Linked DNA regions of Xenopus tropicalis. The protein of the gene in region 1 interacts with the protein of each later gene in a biochemical or structural test. Links are inferred from orthologs where the notes say so. Each region holds a gene or a part of one and is shown in the gene's direction. Other genes may lie near its edges. The genes, in order: anapc2 and securin.

Evidence for each region.
Region 2: the proteins of anapc2 (region 1) and securin form a complex in vitro, tested with the Homo sapiens proteins (2 studies listed by BioGRID, with this or other methods). The link is inferred for Xenopus tropicalis from reciprocal best matches to the Homo sapiens genes ANAPC2 and PTTG1.

What each region holds. Positions count from the first base shown.
Region 1 is NC_030684.2:1,699,770-1,703,585, reverse strand, and holds part of anapc2 (anaphase-promoting complex subunit 2), read left to right. Parts: intron 1-716; coding exon 717-849; intron 850-934; coding exon 935-1,109; intron 1,110-1,461; coding exon 1,462-1,581; intron 1,582-2,112; coding exon 2,113-2,230; intron 2,231-2,497; coding exon 2,498-2,676; intron 2,677-3,056; coding exon 3,057-3,198; intron 3,199-3,295; coding exon 3,296-3,371; intron 3,372-3,816. UniProt on the Homo sapiens protein: Together with the RING-H2 protein ANAPC11, constitutes the catalytic component of the anaphase promoting complex/cyclosome (APC/C), a cell cycle-regulated E3 ubiquitin ligase that controls progression through mitosis and the G1 phase of the cell cycle.
Region 2 is NC_030680.2:46,748,549-46,752,869, reverse strand, and holds the start of securin, read left to right. Parts: upstream 1-1,502; 5' UTR 1,503-1,636; intron 1,637-4,321. UniProt on the Homo sapiens protein: Regulatory protein, which plays a central role in chromosome stability, in the p53/TP53 pathway, and DNA repair. Probably acts by blocking the action of key proteins.

The sequences.
Region 1 (3,816 bases):
CTGCCCCGGTGTCAAATCCAGAGAGTGCGTCACTCTCTAACTGATCTTAAAGGGGTAGTTCCCCTTTACATGAACTTTTAGTACGTTATAGAATCGCCTATTCTTAGCAACTTTTCAATTGGTCTTTTTTTATTTCTTATGGTTTTCTAATTATTTGCCTTTAATTTCTGTTTCCTAAAGGGGGTCACTGACCCCGGCAGCCAAAAAACCTATTGCTCTGTGAGGCTCCAGTTTTATTGTTACTTATCTTTCTATTTAGCCCCTCTCCTATTCATATCCTAGTTGCTAGGGTATTTTGGACCCCGGCAGCCAGACCCTATTGCTCTGTGAGGCTCCAGTTTTATTGTTATTTTTTCTAACTTATCTTTCTATTCAGCCCCTCCCCTATTCATATACCAGTCTCTCATTCAAACCACTGCCTGGTTGCTAAGGTAATTTGAGCCCTAGCAACAGGATAACTGCACCCCCTGCAGCCAAACCCTATTGCTCTGTGAGGCTCCAGTTTTATTGTTATTGTCACTTTTTATTCCTTATCTGTCTATGCAGCCCCTCCCCTATTCATATTCCCATCTCTCCTTTAGACCACTGCCTGGTTGCTAGGGTAAATAAGTCCCTAGCAACCAGCTAGCTGCTAAAATGCCAAATACAGAGTTGCTGAACAAAAACAGAAAAACCAGGAATATGTGGAAGGGGCTGAAACTGTTGCTTTTCTATAGTCACAGGCTAAATCTGCTGGAGAGAATCTGCTCGGACGCAGTGACCACCATTTTGCACAAGATGATCGAGGAGCGGATGGAGAAGAGATGCCGCGGGGAGTATGAACGATCCTTCCTCGGGGAATTTCAGGAGGTAACGTTGGATATAGGGCATGTCTGTGTATAAGACTAAATCAGTCAGGGTAGGGGGTTCACCTTGTGGTCACTTGTTCTGGCAGTGGATCGAGAAGGTGATTGGTTGGCTCAGCAAAGTATTCCTGCAGGATGGGACGGTCCCGCCGACTACGCCAGAGACCAGCAGCACCCTGAAGCGTTGGCGCTGCCACGTGCAGCGGTTCTTCTACCGGCTCTATGCCAGTATGCGCATCGAGGAGCTCTTCAACATCATCAGAGGTGACCGGTCAGCCTAAAGGGGAAGCAAAATTTATTAAACACAGAAACCCCTAATATCCCTATGAGAGAGGAATAAATCCCATTCTTATAGGCTGAAATCCGGCTGCAAAACAAGTTCCTGGCTGGGGAGGAGGGACTAAAACACTGACAAATTGTAACAACTTCTCCACAGCTTACCGACAGCAGGCAGGAACTACATAACCCACAATGCATTGCACTGGGATGGTCCTTATTGACATCACATGCACATTGTGGGATTCAGAGGATGGAGGCAGGAGTACAGGGGGCGGGGCTTATTACATTAACCATCAAAGAGAGACCGCAACTGTGGTACAACGTTTCTTTCTTGTAGACTTCCCCGAATCCAAGCCTGCCATCGAAGATTTAAAGTTTTGCCTGGAAAGAACAAATCAGAGGCAACAGCTGTTAACGTCGCTGAAGAACGCTCTGGAAACCCGACTTCTGCACCCTGGTCAGTGGGTCTATTTCTGCCCTAATCCTCTCTATCTGTTTTATGGGGAAAGGAAGTGCCGTACGATCTGGACTGAGATTTATTTTGTTTCGTTATTACAGCCAGATCAACTGCAGCTCTTTTGGTCACTTCCTTGTCTAACATGAAACTCCTCCCCCTTTTGCTTTCTGAACCCTCCTTCTCTCTCCAACTATGAAGACCCCAAAGAGGTGCCTAATGGGCATGCCTGATTGATTTTGAATCGGAGCAGAACCCTCTTTGAGGTCTTCATAGTTGGACCCAGAAGGAGGGCTCAGGGGGCGGCGCTTCACTCTAAACAAGGAAGTCGGTAAAAGAGCTGCAGTTCAGCTGCTTGTAATAGAAAATGAGGAGAGAAAGGTGGAGGGAGAAAGGTTTGTCATCGTGGGGGCTGTTTAGGGTCATTTTAGGGGGTTTTGTTATTACAGCCCTGCAGACTGGCTAGGCCTTAGTAGAATTAAATAGAACAAGTGTATCCTTAGTACGTTTTTGATGCTTCTGTTTGTTTATTAGGAGTGAATACATCCGACATTATCACCCTGTACATATCGGCCATTAAAGCCCTGAGGGAGCTGGACCCTTCCATGGTTATTCTGGAAGTCGCCTGTGAGCCCATAAGGAAGTATCTGAGGTATCCGGAAGAATTCCGGGGGTTTTTGAGAACTTTATTAAAGGGGTTGTTCCCCTTTAATTTATAGTATGTGGTAGAGATTGCTAGTATGGAGATCCAAATCACGGAAAGATGCCTTATCCGGAAAGCCCCCGGTCCCGAGCATTCTGGGTAACAGGTGCCGAGCATTCTGGGTAACAGGTGCCGAGCATTCTGGGTAACCGGTCCCCCCTACCTGTATTTGAAGGATTAATATGAAAGCTCAAACCCTGCCTGTGTCCCCGATAGGACAAGAGAGGACACTGTCCGGCAGATTGTCGCCGGGTTAACCGGGGACGCGGAAGGTTCCGCCGACTTGGCCAATGAGCTTTCTAAGGCGGACCCCGTCCTGGAAAATGGGCAGGAGAGCGACGACGACGTGTCCGAAGCGGAGGATTGGCTGCCGGATCCTGTAGATGCTGACCCGGGTAAGTGCAGTATGGTAGTGTTTTTACCCCTCCTGATTGCCTAGCTATCTGGTTGCTAGGGTTGTGTTTACCTTAGCAACCAGGCAGTGGTTCCAACAAAAGACTGGAAGATAAATAAGTGAGGGACAGAATAGGAGGATAAGAGATAAAACAAACAATAACAATAAAAATGTGGCTTCACAGAGCAATCGTTCTCGGTTGCCAGGGTCAGTGACCCCCATTTGAAAGCTGCAAAGAGTCATAAGAAGAAGGGAAAGTTTAAAAAAAAAAAAAAAAAAATACAAAATGAAGACCAATTGCAAAGTTGCTAGGAACTTCTATAATATAGTGAAAGTTCCCCCACCCCATTAGTAACCCCCTTGTTCTCTTGTTGCCCCCAGGCAAAAGCAGCTCCAAGCGTCGCTCTTCGGACATCATCAGCCTCCTGGTCAGTATCTACGGCAGCAAAGAGCTATTTATTAACGAGTACCGCACCCTCCTGGCCGAGCGGCTCCTGCACCAGTTCAACTACAGCTCAGAAAGGTACCGCCCGCCGCCCCATTGCGCCCAACTAGGCCCATAGCGCACAGTTAAAATACACGGTCAGATGTATGACTGTTGCTGCTTCTCCCGTATTTAGAGAAATCCGCAATGTGGAGCTGCTGAAGCTGCGCTTTGGGGAGGCCCAGATGCACTACTGTGAGGTTATGCTGAAGGTAAGTGGGGGCGGGGCCTGCGGCTTGGGTTGGGGCACCTTCTAACCCCCATATATAATAGGCACTAAGTTTGCCCAGGACTAACCCATAGCGACCAATAAGGTGTTTGCTTATAAACAGGTGACCAGTAAATGCTACCTGCTGATTGGTTGCTATGGGTTACTGCTCCTGGGCAAACTTAGTGCCTTTAATTACATCACCCCCCTAAGAGACTTTTGGTTGGCTCTTTCTCTCCCCCTCCCTTTTTCTCTCTCTCCCCCTACCTCTCTCTCCCTCTCTCTCTCCTCCCACTTTCATCCCCTCCCTCCCTTTTCTCCCTCTTTCTCTCCTCCCTCTCTCTCTCTCTCTCTCTCCCCCTCCCTCCCTTTTTCTCCCTCTTTCTCTCCTCCCTCTCTCTCTCTCTCTCTCTCTCTCTCTCTCTCCCCCTCCCTCCCTTTTTCTCCCT
Region 2 (4,321 bases), on another chromosome or scaffold:
TAAAAGGGCCAGTCACCACCGCACAAGAGGCCGCATAAGGAGAGGAACCGCTGAAGAAGGAGCACCTCCCACTGAAATAAAGTGCCCCCATAGACAGTACCCCCCATACACAGTACCCCCCATACACAGTACCCCCATAGGAAGTACCCCCCATACACAACCCCCCATAGTACATACACAGTGCCCCCATAGGAAGTACCCCCCATACACAACCCCCCATAGTAAGTTCCCCCAATTGAGACAGTACCCCCCATACACATTGCCCCCAATTGAGACAGTACCCCCATACACAGTGCCCCCAATTGAGACAGTACCCCACATACACAGTGCCCCCCCATAGACAGTACCCCCCATACAGTGCCTCCTTCTTCTTCAGCGGCTCCTCTCCTTATGCGGCTTCTTATACGGCGGTGACAGGCCCTTTTATAAGGTTGTGCCCCGTGCGTATGTGTGACGTTAATACGCACGAGGCGCAACCTTATAAAAGGGCCTGTCACCACCGCACAAGAGGCCGCATAAGGAGAGGAACCGCTGAAGAAGGAGCACCTCCCGCTGTCACGGATACTTCAATGAATGTCCAGCATTTCCGTAATCTATTACGGAAATGCGGGACATTCATTGACCTATCCGGGACAGCGGGATGCGCTATTAAAACCGGGACAGTCCCGTGGAAAGCGGGACAGTTCGGGGGTATGGTAAGATCTTTACCCCCATATGTAATGAAAGGCACTAAGTTTACCCATTAGCAGTAACCCATAGCAACGAATAAGATGTTTGCTTTTAAACAGGTGACCAGTACATTTTATTTGCTGGTTGGTTGCTATGGGTTACTGCTCCTGGGCAAACATAGTGCAATTAACTACATAATCCCTTTACAGAGCTGTCAGCTATGTTAGCAGGGGGAATTGGAGCCTGAAAATTTGTTCCTGCGCCCTAAATTCATCACTGAACTTTGTTTGACTTCCTCAAAATCGGGAGAATCCTGCTGGGGGACAAGTGACCAGGGAAGAATCTTCAAAATCAGGTAACTCTTGAAGAAATGGGGGGGGGGGGGGGAGGTTGACAGAGCATAGGGGTGGATTTGTGTGGCACTAGCCTTATATAGGCCCTCTACCGTTTATATTCTATTATCTCTTCAACATAGCTTTCTGATTGGTATGGGGGGAAAAAATTCAACAACCACAATGAATAAAACATGCAAACCAATTACAAATTGTCTTTTAATTTTACTGTCTGCATCTTAAAAATATAAAAATTAAAGTTAAAACCCCACTAAACAAACTTTTAAACATGCAAATATATAGAAGCCACATTTATGCAGAGAATACTATAGAAATCTTTGAGTGTATTGTATCCAAACGTGGAGAAAAACGTGTCTGTAGTTTTGCAACTGCCTTCCCCTTTCACAACGATTCATGATATCAAAGCCGTTAGTAAAAGGGCGGGGAGCTTTACAGGTCTTCAGCCAATGGGAAGACAACTTTGTGTTTAAAAGCCGCAGGACTGGGTGCTGCACGGTCAAGTCTTTGAGAAGTATTTTCAGGTGACGGCTACTAGACGCGGCTTCTCTGTTTTGTGGGTGGCTACTGATTCTGATTTCTAGCTGGCCTTGTTTGGTAACCGCAAGAAGTTACAGGTAGTTGTGGATGCTTGATTAAATTTCACTTTCCCAGCCTGGTGCTTTGATGTTCTTTACTCTTACCGTAAGTCACGAGGCGAACCGGCGTTACTTTCTTGGTCCGTGAGCAAGCGTAACGTTGTGTCGTGTGTTGCCTTTGCGCTGGCGGGTAAAGGCCGTTTGTGTGTGTGTTTTTTTTTGTTTTTTTGTTTTAACTTGCAGTTCTGTGTAGTGGCGTATATCTAGCCAAATCTATTGTCTGTAAGTTTAACTGTACTGCTTATGACTCTTGTCCCTAGAGACATCCAGTGACTGAAGTGGGGATGCAGTAAACGAGGGTTTTTTTTCTCTCCCACCCTACACCCAATCCCATATTTTATTGATTACAGCACAGCTTTGAATTATGTATTCCGATTGAGTGTTCTTAAAGGGCAAGAAACCATAGACTCAGGGGGCACTAATGTTATGTACCCCATGAATTGTAGTTGTTTGTTCATTGCCCTGTTCTTCATTTACGTGAAAATAGCTCTGTGCCACATTATACCTTTTCCAAATGGCTCCCTAGACTTTCATAAAATGAATTTTTTTTAATTTTTTTTTTTGCGCTTATGGTACATGGCTAGACAAACATCTAGCTTTTTGACCTCTTACAAGACACAAAGCTGAATATTTTCTACTTTGCACTTTCTTGCATTTTGTCTCTTATGGTACAGGTATAGGACCCATTATCCAGAATGCTCGGGACCAAGGGTATTCCGGATAAGGGGTCTTTCCGGAATTTGGATCTCAACACCTTAAGTCTACTAAAAAATCAATAAAACATTAATTAAACCCAATAGGGTTGTTTTGCATCCAATAAGGATTATTTATATCTTAGTTGGGATCAATTACAAGGTACAGTTTTATTTCTACATAGAAAAAGGAAATCCGTTTTACAATTCTGAATTATTTGATTATAATGGAGTCTATGGGAGATGGGCTTTCCGTAATTCGGAGCTTTCTGGATAACGGGTTTCCGGATAAGGGGTCCGATACCTGTACTAATGTCTAGCTTTGTATTGTGTTCTAGAGATTATTCCCACTGCAATCCACCTTGTCCTACACAAGGGGGAATTCACAAAAGTGGTGATAATGAGACAAAATAAAAGTGGAGGGAGATTTGTTGGATTTTCCACCTAACTCTCAAATCTCTATCTCCACTTTTGTGAATTTGTTTTTTAAACAGGCAGCTTTCAGATTTTGTCCTTTTGCCAACATTTTATAAATTTGCTTTTAGCTCTTCGTAAATCTGTCGTCATCAAACCCAGTCCCACAGCTACATGAACCATGGAATAAGGATTTTGCCAGCAGTATTTGTCATTTCATTTTGGGGGTATTTCCTGAAGGGAAACTATACATCATTTTCAAGACAAGCTGGGCTTTCTAATGTGTTCTATATTTGTGTAATTCCACTTCTGTAACAAGATTTAAGGGTCTAAATAGCTTCTTCTCTAGCCCCTACTGACCAGCAGCAACATGCTTGGTAAAAAGGGGCCCAACTGGACTAAGACCCACCAGGTTTTTATCCAGGGCCAGTCCAACCCCAATGTCCCAGTTTGGGTGCCAGTGTGTATGTGCTATTTTCTGATCACCAAGATGGCAGCTGGGAACAGAAGGGGCACAGCTAAAGGTGGGGGCCAATGCAGCTCTGTAGTTCTGGACATGCTATGAGGGCTCAAGTTAGTTGCAACAAGTGTCAGTGAAGTGATTAAAGAGGGGGGCACTGCTGCTAAAAATTTGCCTGGAGGCTTTACTTTTCCTTTAAATAAAAATGTATACAATGTTATTATTGCCTCATTGATTAAGCTAAAACAAGCATAATCATGCAAATGCGAGGGGGGGGGGAATGAAACATATGTGCAGTATGAAGCAAGGAGGGAAAGGAAGGGAGAATACCTTTTTTAAAGATGGCTGCCTGTTCAAGAAAACAATGTGAAGTAAGTGTGACTCAGTAAATATTTGATTAGGTGAGCCAAAAGTGTGGCGGTTTTACTAAACAATAGGAGGACTATTGGGCAGTATGCTTTTTATATTTTGACTTGCATTCTCCTTTAAAGTTTGGTGCATCCTCTTCAATTATTTCCTTTTTAAAATGGGTTTTTCATGAAATTTCTCTGAATTCTCTGGTTCCTCCTAAGGCTAATGCCACATGAGCATTTTCTCGGCAAGCCGAAGAATGCTTGCTGAGAATACGCCCCGCTACTGTAAATTTAGCCTACCTTGTGCCTGCACCCAAATGAATGGAATGGCCTCTGGTGCAGGCACATGTGGCAGATATCCGCGTAAAAATGTGAGCCTTCGTATTTTCGTCGGATATCGGCTACATGTGCCTGCACATTCATTCGGATTGGGGCGCAGGTAGCAGCGTATGGCTTTATTTTTGGCAAGCGTTTTTTGTCTTGTCAAAAATATACGCCATAAGCGAAGTGCCATTGTCCTAAACCATTGGGGAGGGGTTGGTCTTTTTAATTTGGAAAGCAAATGCATTATTTATTTTTTAAATAATTATCCCAATGAAAGCAAAAAATTCATAGGTTGTCCTGGGTTACTGCCCAGGTGCACATTTGCCCACTCTTTACAAATGAGCCTCTAATTATATTGACCTAAACATGAGTGGAACACCATTATGCAGGACAGTTATTGGTGCACTGGTAACTGTTTTTG